Nothobranchius furzeri: one gene and its partner. The protein of the gene in region 1 purifies or fractionates together with the protein of each later gene. This does not show direct contact. Links are inferred from orthologs where the notes say so. Each region holds a gene or a part of one and is shown on either strand. Other genes may lie near its edges. The genes, in order: trib1 and stk40.

Region 1 (4,268 bases):
GCCAGAAGAGTGAGGGATTAAAAGGTCTGACAAATATTGTGGAGCTTGTCCATTAAGAGCTCTAAAAGTCAGAACTAAATTGAATGTCATCCGCATATAAATTTTTAAATCAATTCTAAACTTGACCGGTAGCCAATGTAAAGAATATAAAACCGGTGTTATGTGAGCCCTTCTATTGGTTCCTGTTAAAAGCCTTTCTGCAGCGTTCTGGACCAACTGGAGACGACTGACATCTGATTTGTTAAAACAAGTAAAGATAGAATTACAATAATATAAACGAGAAGAAATAAAAGCATGGATAATCATCTCCAAGTCCGATTTTGAAGTAAAAGCTCTCAATTTGGAAATGTTTCGCAAATGATAAAAAGCAGTTTTTTACTAAACGTTTTGAGTGGCAGCTCAAAGACATGGATTGGTCAAGAAGAACACCAAGGTTTCTGAGACTGGTCTGGACTGAGGAGCTCAGGGAACCGAGGTGTTTGATTAAAAGCACTTTCTGTTCAGGAGCAATGATCAGTGTTTCGGTCTTGCTTGAGTTCAACTGAAGACAGTTACTGGCTAGTCCTTAATATGCTCAATGCAATCAAGTAGATCAGCTAACTTGTTAAACTCTGTGTCCTTGAAAGAGCAGTACAGTTGAATGCCATCTGCATATAAATGGTAGGACACTTTAGTAAAGCTTTTAATAATCTCCCCAAGAGGGCAAATATATAAAAGGAACAAAACTGGGCCAAGGACCGAGCCCTGGGGAACACCGTGAAGCAAAAATGTGACTTCAGACCTAATCTTGTTTACACATACAGAGAATGTTCTGTTATTTAAATAGGAAGAAAACCACTTCAGAACCGTACCAGAAATTCCTAGGACATTGTGTAGTCGATGTAACAGAATTTTATGGTCAACCGTGTCAAAAGCTGAAGACAAATCCAATAAAACCAGTACAGTACATGGGCCAGAGTCAGTACATCATTAGATACCTTTAACAGAGCTGTTTCAGTGGAACAGTGCATCTTACGAAAGCCTGATTGGAACTTATCTAAAACATTATTAAGATAAGATGACTGCTTAGCTATTTGTGTTAGCAAGCAGTTCATCAAGTGTTCTTAAGGAAATGACCAGCGACTGTGAACGCTGCACCTCACCGAAGCTCATTTCCTCATTTTTAATTTAATTTTCCACAAAAAAATATTTAAAAATCAATCTTTAATCAATTAACGGCAATTTGGGGGTGGGCAGTGGGGGGGGGGTGCCCCCCTCTGACCTGACTTAGGGGCACCCCTGTTGAAAGTGAGATGACATTCATCTTCTTCAGGAGCTTTTTATTCTAATCACAAGAGGAAGACAAGTTCTCCTGTTTGCTGCTCTAACTGGTGATAAATGGCAACATGAGCTGAAGATCAGAAAATTCCGAGTTTGTTAATGATCGTCTGAAACGTGATGAGGTGTGAGAGGCGGGTCTCATTCCCGGTGGTGCGTTCACGTTCTTGTTTATGTATCAGCGGAATCGCAGAGCTCAGTGCAGGAATGTTGAGACTCTCAACATCCTGATTTCTCTGAAAGGTAAAATCTAGCGTCACCAGACACGCGCACAGTGAGCTGGAGTCGGTGCCGCTACAGGATTGCTCAACGCTTGTGTCATCAGGAGGCTGGACTGGTCGGGCGGAGTGTTTCAGAGCTCATCACCGGAGCTTCTCACTCTCAGCCTCTCTCTGAGTGTGAGGCGGTCTCCCCTCCTCTCCCCCGCTTTCTCTTTCTCTCCCTCTCTCTCTTTTCTTTTTTTTCCCTCCTTGATTGTGGATTTTTTTTCTGATCCAAACCTCAAAAGGAAGAAGAAGGACGCGGTCTGGATTATCAGCCAACGCGTAAAGTTTGATTTGTGCCAGCTATGAGACGGAGTGGGTTCTAACCACCAAGGGACGCATCTTTTTGCTTGATTTTATTCACATCTATATCATTTTATCTTCATGGCGAGCCGGTCGTTCAGGATGAACTTGCCGTGGAGCAGTCCTGCACCCTGCACCCGGAGAGTCGCGCACAAGCGGCTGGACTCGGACGACCAGCCGCCGGCCAAGTGCGCCCGGCTGAGCGCTGAGGCGGGGGACGCGCAGGGACTCCTGGGTACGTCACCCGGGTCCCCGCTCAACCCCGCGGCCAACCCGGCTCCCCACCACCAGGGACCGTCCAGGATAGGTCCGTTCCTCCTGCTGCCGCTCGCGGACCGGGAGAGCATGCACAGTGCGATGAACACCGATACTGGCGATGAGCTGCTGTGCAAGGTATGCGCAATCAGGTCATTGTGCAATTTCTTTGAATGAATGATGTTGCTCAACAGTCCGTCTGACACGCTATCCGTATTTAGCTCACCTTTTCAGCAAAATGTCATCCTCACGCTCCCTTTGCGTAATAATGTTTCTTAATGCTTCCCCCCTTATAACCAGAAGTCTTTTAAATACGCAATCAAGACCAGCCGTCGCCTTTCTGCATGTTGTGGAAACAGTCTCCCATGCTCAGCATTCACACTGTCTCTCAACTCGGCTCATTTGCATACACGTCACTGCCAAGCCGTGACAGTAAAATGCAACATGTTCAGCAGAATAATAATAATGCAAGATTAGAATCTATCCAGATAAAAACTCATATCTGCACCAGTATGAGGCATCAGGTGACGTAATGCATTAAAAAAATCCCAGCCTGATTTAGCTTCAAGTAATGGTGACCGTCATAAGTATTCACGATTAAATATGAATATCTAAATCTAAATATTTAGAATAAAAATCTAAATATTAAGCAATTAATGCAAAATATTTACAATCAAATCGAAACATTATATTTTTAAGGCTAAATTCTAAATATTTACAATGAAATCTAAATATTAAGAAATCAATTCTGAATATTTAGAATCCTGTCTAAATATAAGTTATGTCTAAATATTTAAGACAAAAATCTAAATATTTATTATAAAAATCTAAAATTTAAGCAATGAATTCAAAATATTTAGAATCAAAAATGAATATGAAAAGTTACTTCTAAACATTGAAGTTTCTAACCAAAACATTTATAATCCAATCTAAATAAGTAATCAAATCAAACATTTAGAATACAATTACATTTAGTACATAAAGTTCCATCTAATTAGCAACAATCTAATCAAAATATTTATATTCATGTAAAAATCTAAATATTTAGAATCAAATACAACAACAGTGCTCAAATTCATATACACCTGCAGAATTTTGTTTAAACAATTGTTGCTTTCTGTAAATCCTATAAACTTTGTTTCACATATCACTCCTAAACCCACTTTTTTTTAGGTTAATTCCTTTTCACAAGCCAGAATTCCAACAGTCACATTTTCTAATTGGTGCCCCATACTCCAGATTCTGTTTAGGTTTGCATGAAAACAAAATCCCTGGAGGCCTTTTTGATTATGAATTCAATCATTTAACAAAACACTTTTGCAAAAAGCAGCCGTTGAAAATCATACATGTAATATATATTTATATTTGCCCACTTGTTACCTCCTATGATAGGAAGACTGACTCTTATTGCCTCCTTCCTTCATGTTTCCACTCTGCATCCCTACACCTCCCCTTCCTCCTCTCTGATCTCTCCGCTAGGTCTTTGACATGGCAGCCTACCTGGAGAAGATCAGAGCCTACGGGCTTCTACCAGCTCACAGAAACGTGGCTGGCATCCGGGACATCATCCTTGGTGAACGCAAGGCCTACATCTTCCTGGACAAAGACTTTGGGGACATGCACACCTTGGTGAAGAGCTGTCGCCGGCTGGATGAGGGACACGCCTGCAGGCTCTTCCGCCAGGTGGCTCAGGCTGTGGCGCACTGCCACCAGAAGGGAATCGTGCTGGGTGACCTCAAACTGCGCAAGTTTGTCTTTGCAGATGAGAAAAGGTGAGCCGATCTGATGTTTTCTTTATGGAGGCGAGAACCGTTGTGCTTTTATGTTGATTCAACCAGCAGAAAGCACAGAAGATGACTTTTAGGTTTTTAAATGATCACACACAAAAATTCAGCTTGAATTTCACGTCGAAAGAAGTTCGACCTTTGGGACAAAGTTGGCTGCAATCTGCAAATTTACCACTAGATGTCACTACATCCTGAAAGATGTTCCATGGACGAAAAAACACTAAGATTTGATTTCAACTTTTCTTTCTTTTCTGAGCTAGTTCTAAGATCAATCCTGAGAATGACCTTGTTTGGATGCTCCGGCTGCAGAATAGTGGCACAAACATGGCAGCAGCTGATCCGC
Region 2 (3,819 bases), on another chromosome or scaffold:
TAAGGTTAACATGCTGGTGGTCCTTGCGCGTAACAAGGACATGACCGAGTTATAAATCACAGTTACGCCGGGGACACACCGGCCGCGGAAGCGCCGCGAAAATGGGACCGCCTTCATTCGGTGCCCTTGTTAAGCTATTCTAAGCGTCTGATCTGAACTGAGAAACGGCGAGCAGCGAACGAATTTCGTGAGCGATTCGCTTCTCGGCGCTTCCGCGGCCGGTGTGTCCCCGGCGTTATTCTTGTGTGTGAAAGTGAACTGACTGTGCCTGGGACATCTCATTTTGTTAGATGTTGAAGCCAAATTTGCATTTCAAAGTTAAACCTCCTGAATGTTGTTTTTAAGTTCAGTCAGAGAATGCCGTTACTGCCCTTCGATCTGCATTTAATAAAGTGTCAAAAATGGCCATGTATTTTTTCTAACATTTTTTAAATGTGTAAGCACAATGTTTCAAAGGAAATATTGCCATGAGTTTAGTAATTAACAAACAAATTTGCTAAGTACATAAATAAAAACGGGGTGCAATAATATCGCATACCGCAATATTGAGCTGCCCTGACTCACTGCAGGGGGAATTCCTCAACCGCGACAGCCCTAGTCTCCGCTTTGTTTTGGTTGTTTTGGCGTTGACATCATGCTAGCACGCAACGTTCTGTGACTCTTAAAAAAACAGTAAAACGGTGAGAAACGCTGGCAGCGAAGGCCGTTAGCGATCAGGAAACGGCTGGCAGTGAATGAGTTAACGATATTGTGTTATGATACCAAAGCAAAATTTAAAAGCACTGTGTTTGTTTTCTAACGGAGAATATACATGCCCTTATTTACTGTGTTTCTTTTGTTTGGTATAATTCAAACTCCGACTGCTAGGTGGCAGCGGTTCTGACTGCTTTCATTGTGACGGAACCACGAGATCTCACGATAACTCTGGATGTGTCTTGGAAGTAGCCTGGCCTGCCAGACTCCTCCTCTGTTTAATTCTGCACAGAGAAAGGGTCTGGCAACTCTCCTGTTCAAATAACCCCACCTCGTGAGAATTCTAACCGAGCCAATCAACACTGAGTAGCATACGACACACACCATAACGCCGAGTTTGTCGAACATGGCGACTGAAGCGGAGTTCGCTGCGCCTCTTTCCCCTGTTCTCAATGACTTGGACACAACAAGTAGACGCGCTAAAAGTCTTTCTTCTAAAGAAAGATGTTTGCGCTGTCCCCAGACTCCATTTTAACTACAGCTAAACAACTACAGGGTCCCGGACGTCACACACAGCGACGCTCAGTTCCTCATAAACAATAAAGACAGCAGCGGAGTTCGCTGCAGCTCTTTCCTCTGTTCTAAATGACTTGAATGTCTCTAAAACCACAATTAGAGGCGCTAAAAGCCTTTCTTCTAAAAAGAAATAAAAGATGTTTGCACCGTTGTTAGACGCTGTTTTTTTTTTTACTACAGCTAGAAAACTACAGCGCCGTGCGATATGGTCGGGATTTCAGTCTTTTTTTCTGATTGGTTACTTTTGAGCTGCCTAGTCCCGCCCCTCATGCGCCTCTCTGCCTGTGAGTTACCAGACTCTCTTCTCTGTGCAGATTTAAACAGAGGACGAGTCTAGCAGGCCAGGCTATCTTGGAAGCATCTGGCCTGATATTCCGATTAAGTCCAGCCTCAAATATCTCATGGCTTTCAGTATCCTTTTTCTCCAACGTCACCTGATCACATGGGTCTGCCATATCAGATGGCAAAGGCACAGTAAACAGTGAGCAAAACAATGTTTAGTATGGCTTCATCTAGTTCAAGCCCAGTTCACTTGTGGGCCGACTTTGTCTGCTAGTTCTGCCAACTGCACAGCAGCTATTACCATTTTACTGTGAAAACAACTAAATGAAAGCAATAAAAGCCACAAACTGGTTTGTTTTGACTAGCTTCAATGAAGTTTCAACATGTGTGAACAGTCTTTTTACTGTCCGCCATGTTTAAGGGGGTGGTCCCATGAAGAGCAGCCTGATGTCACGTGCAAAGGGTCAATATGTCGTACCGCCTCCCCTGTAACGTTATACAAATGGCATCACCAGATACTCGCACATGTTAGAGGTTTGGAGACACCTTGATTGGTTGTCACCCAGACATTTAAATATTTCCATCCAGTGAAAACTTGGGATGACTGCAGGGTGGCTCATTCCTCTCGATGTGTGGCTCTACTTCCTCATTACGAGAAACAGATGGTGTTTCATCACACAGACGTTCGGTATCAGCTGAAAAGAATGCACACCTCTCACTCGCTGGCTTCAGGAAGGTAAAGGAGATCGGCTCGGTCGGTTAAAGTAGCTTAACAGCGATGTGTCACACTCACTGGCATGCACAACCCTGCTTCCTTATCGCCCTGCCCACAAACCTGGTGGCTTTTCTTTTATATTTTACATTTCTGCCTTGGTAAAACATGCACTCCCTTTTAAAGTGAGGTCTGTATAGATAAGCCGGCTGTGCAGATTAAAAATCCAGGGATTTTCTAAACCCAAGTCCACCGCTGCAGGATTAAAGAGACCAACCATGAAGACTTCTGTTTGGCTCGTTTTGTGCTTTTATGGAGATTGAATCTGAGGTGTTGCCCTTGACACCAACCGCCATTATTTTAAATGGAACCTTAATGGGTTTGCTTTAGCATTGAGGTGTGTAAATGTGTGTGGAGGGGGCAGGAGCTGCCCTGAACTCTCTTTACTCATGACCAGCCTGCGTGACCTCTGCTGAAGCTCTACGTTCGCTCTTAATTCTTCATTAATGCCGTTTTTCTTAAATTACCGTCTAGATTCTAGACTTTATGACACAAAGTGTTACGATCTACCTTTTAGAATGTGTCTTTACCACCAGGTGTGTGTTTTCCCTCTTACTTGACTATCTTTAGCCCACAAACTAATCAGATTTGTTTCCTCGTAGAGCTCCAGGATGTCCAAGCGGCGCTCGTCAGAGAGGGGAGCTGGAGAGACGTCGAGGGCCAGCCAGCTGCAGTGTCCCGGGATAAATGGCAGTAATGCCAAGAGAGCTGGCCCCTTCATCCTTGGTATGGGATTTTATTACCACGTTTTACCCAAAGTGTTCAGAAGAAGTGGCAGCATTTATTTGCAGAAAACTCGGGAGAACTGTGAGCTGCGGAGGGCTTACCTACTCCCGCCTGGGACAAGAATTTGAGGAATTTTGCTGATCCCCATGACATTGGCCAGAAAGGCCCAAGTCTGAGTTGGAACAACTTTTCTTCCTCCATTCTTTCTCGTTGCCTGTTTGTTTTTCTGTGCCTAAGCTATTTGCAGCATTTGGTGCCAAAGGCAACGTTACACGTTGGGTGTTGATGGGCACACGCACATGGAGCCCTTAATGAGTTACAGTGAGAGCACATGCTCTTTTGCTTACACAGCTGTTCTTTTCCTTACCCTTGCAGGACCTCGCCTGGGCAACTCACCGGTGCCGAGCATAGTTCAGTGTTTGGCCAGAAAAGACGGCACAGACGACTTCTATCAGCTGAAAGTAAGTCTGTCGGAGTCTGTGCGTTCTTTGCTGCGATCGCTGTTTCACTTTTGTTCACACAGTCGCTTAAACCTCAACAGGCGATGCAGAGTCAAAGCAGTAATGTCTCAGAAGATCCTCGAACCTTTGACCTTTCTTTGGTGTTCGTTTTATTGCCCGTCTTTCACAGCAGAATGTGAGCCTGGAAGCATCTTTACTAGGATCATCTGATGCTTTTCTAACAACTCGGGGGGGCTCTAAAGTAGGGTGAGAGGATAAAGAAGGAAAGGAAAGCCGTTCACCTGGACGTCCTCTCCAAAATCACCATTT

Evidence for each region.
Region 2: the proteins of trib1 (region 1) and stk40 purify together in Homo sapiens (affinity purification with mass spectrometry; 3 studies listed by BioGRID and IntAct, counting the BioPlex papers as one, with this or other methods). This does not show direct contact. The link is inferred for Nothobranchius furzeri from reciprocal best matches to the Homo sapiens genes TRIB1 and STK40.

Annotation. Positions count from the first base shown.
Region 1 is NC_091759.1:11,530-15,797, reverse strand, and holds the start of trib1 (tribbles homolog 1), read left to right. Parts: upstream 1-1,382; 5' UTR 1,383-1,964; coding exon 1,965-2,276; intron 2,277-3,617; coding exon 3,618-3,910; intron 3,911-4,268. UniProt on the Homo sapiens protein: Adapter protein involved in protein degradation by interacting with COP1 ubiquitin ligase. The COP1-binding motif is masked by autoinhibitory interactions with the protein kinase domain.
Region 2 is NC_091745.1:70,998,875-71,002,693, reverse strand, and holds part of stk40 (serine/threonine-protein kinase 40), read left to right. Parts: intron 1-1,975; exon of another isoform or gene 1,976-2,179; coding exon of another isoform or gene 2,180-2,287; intron 2,288-2,925; coding exon 2,926-3,049; intron 3,050-3,424; coding exon 3,425-3,510; intron 3,511-3,819. UniProt on the Homo sapiens protein: May be a negative regulator of NF-kappa-B and p53-mediated gene transcription.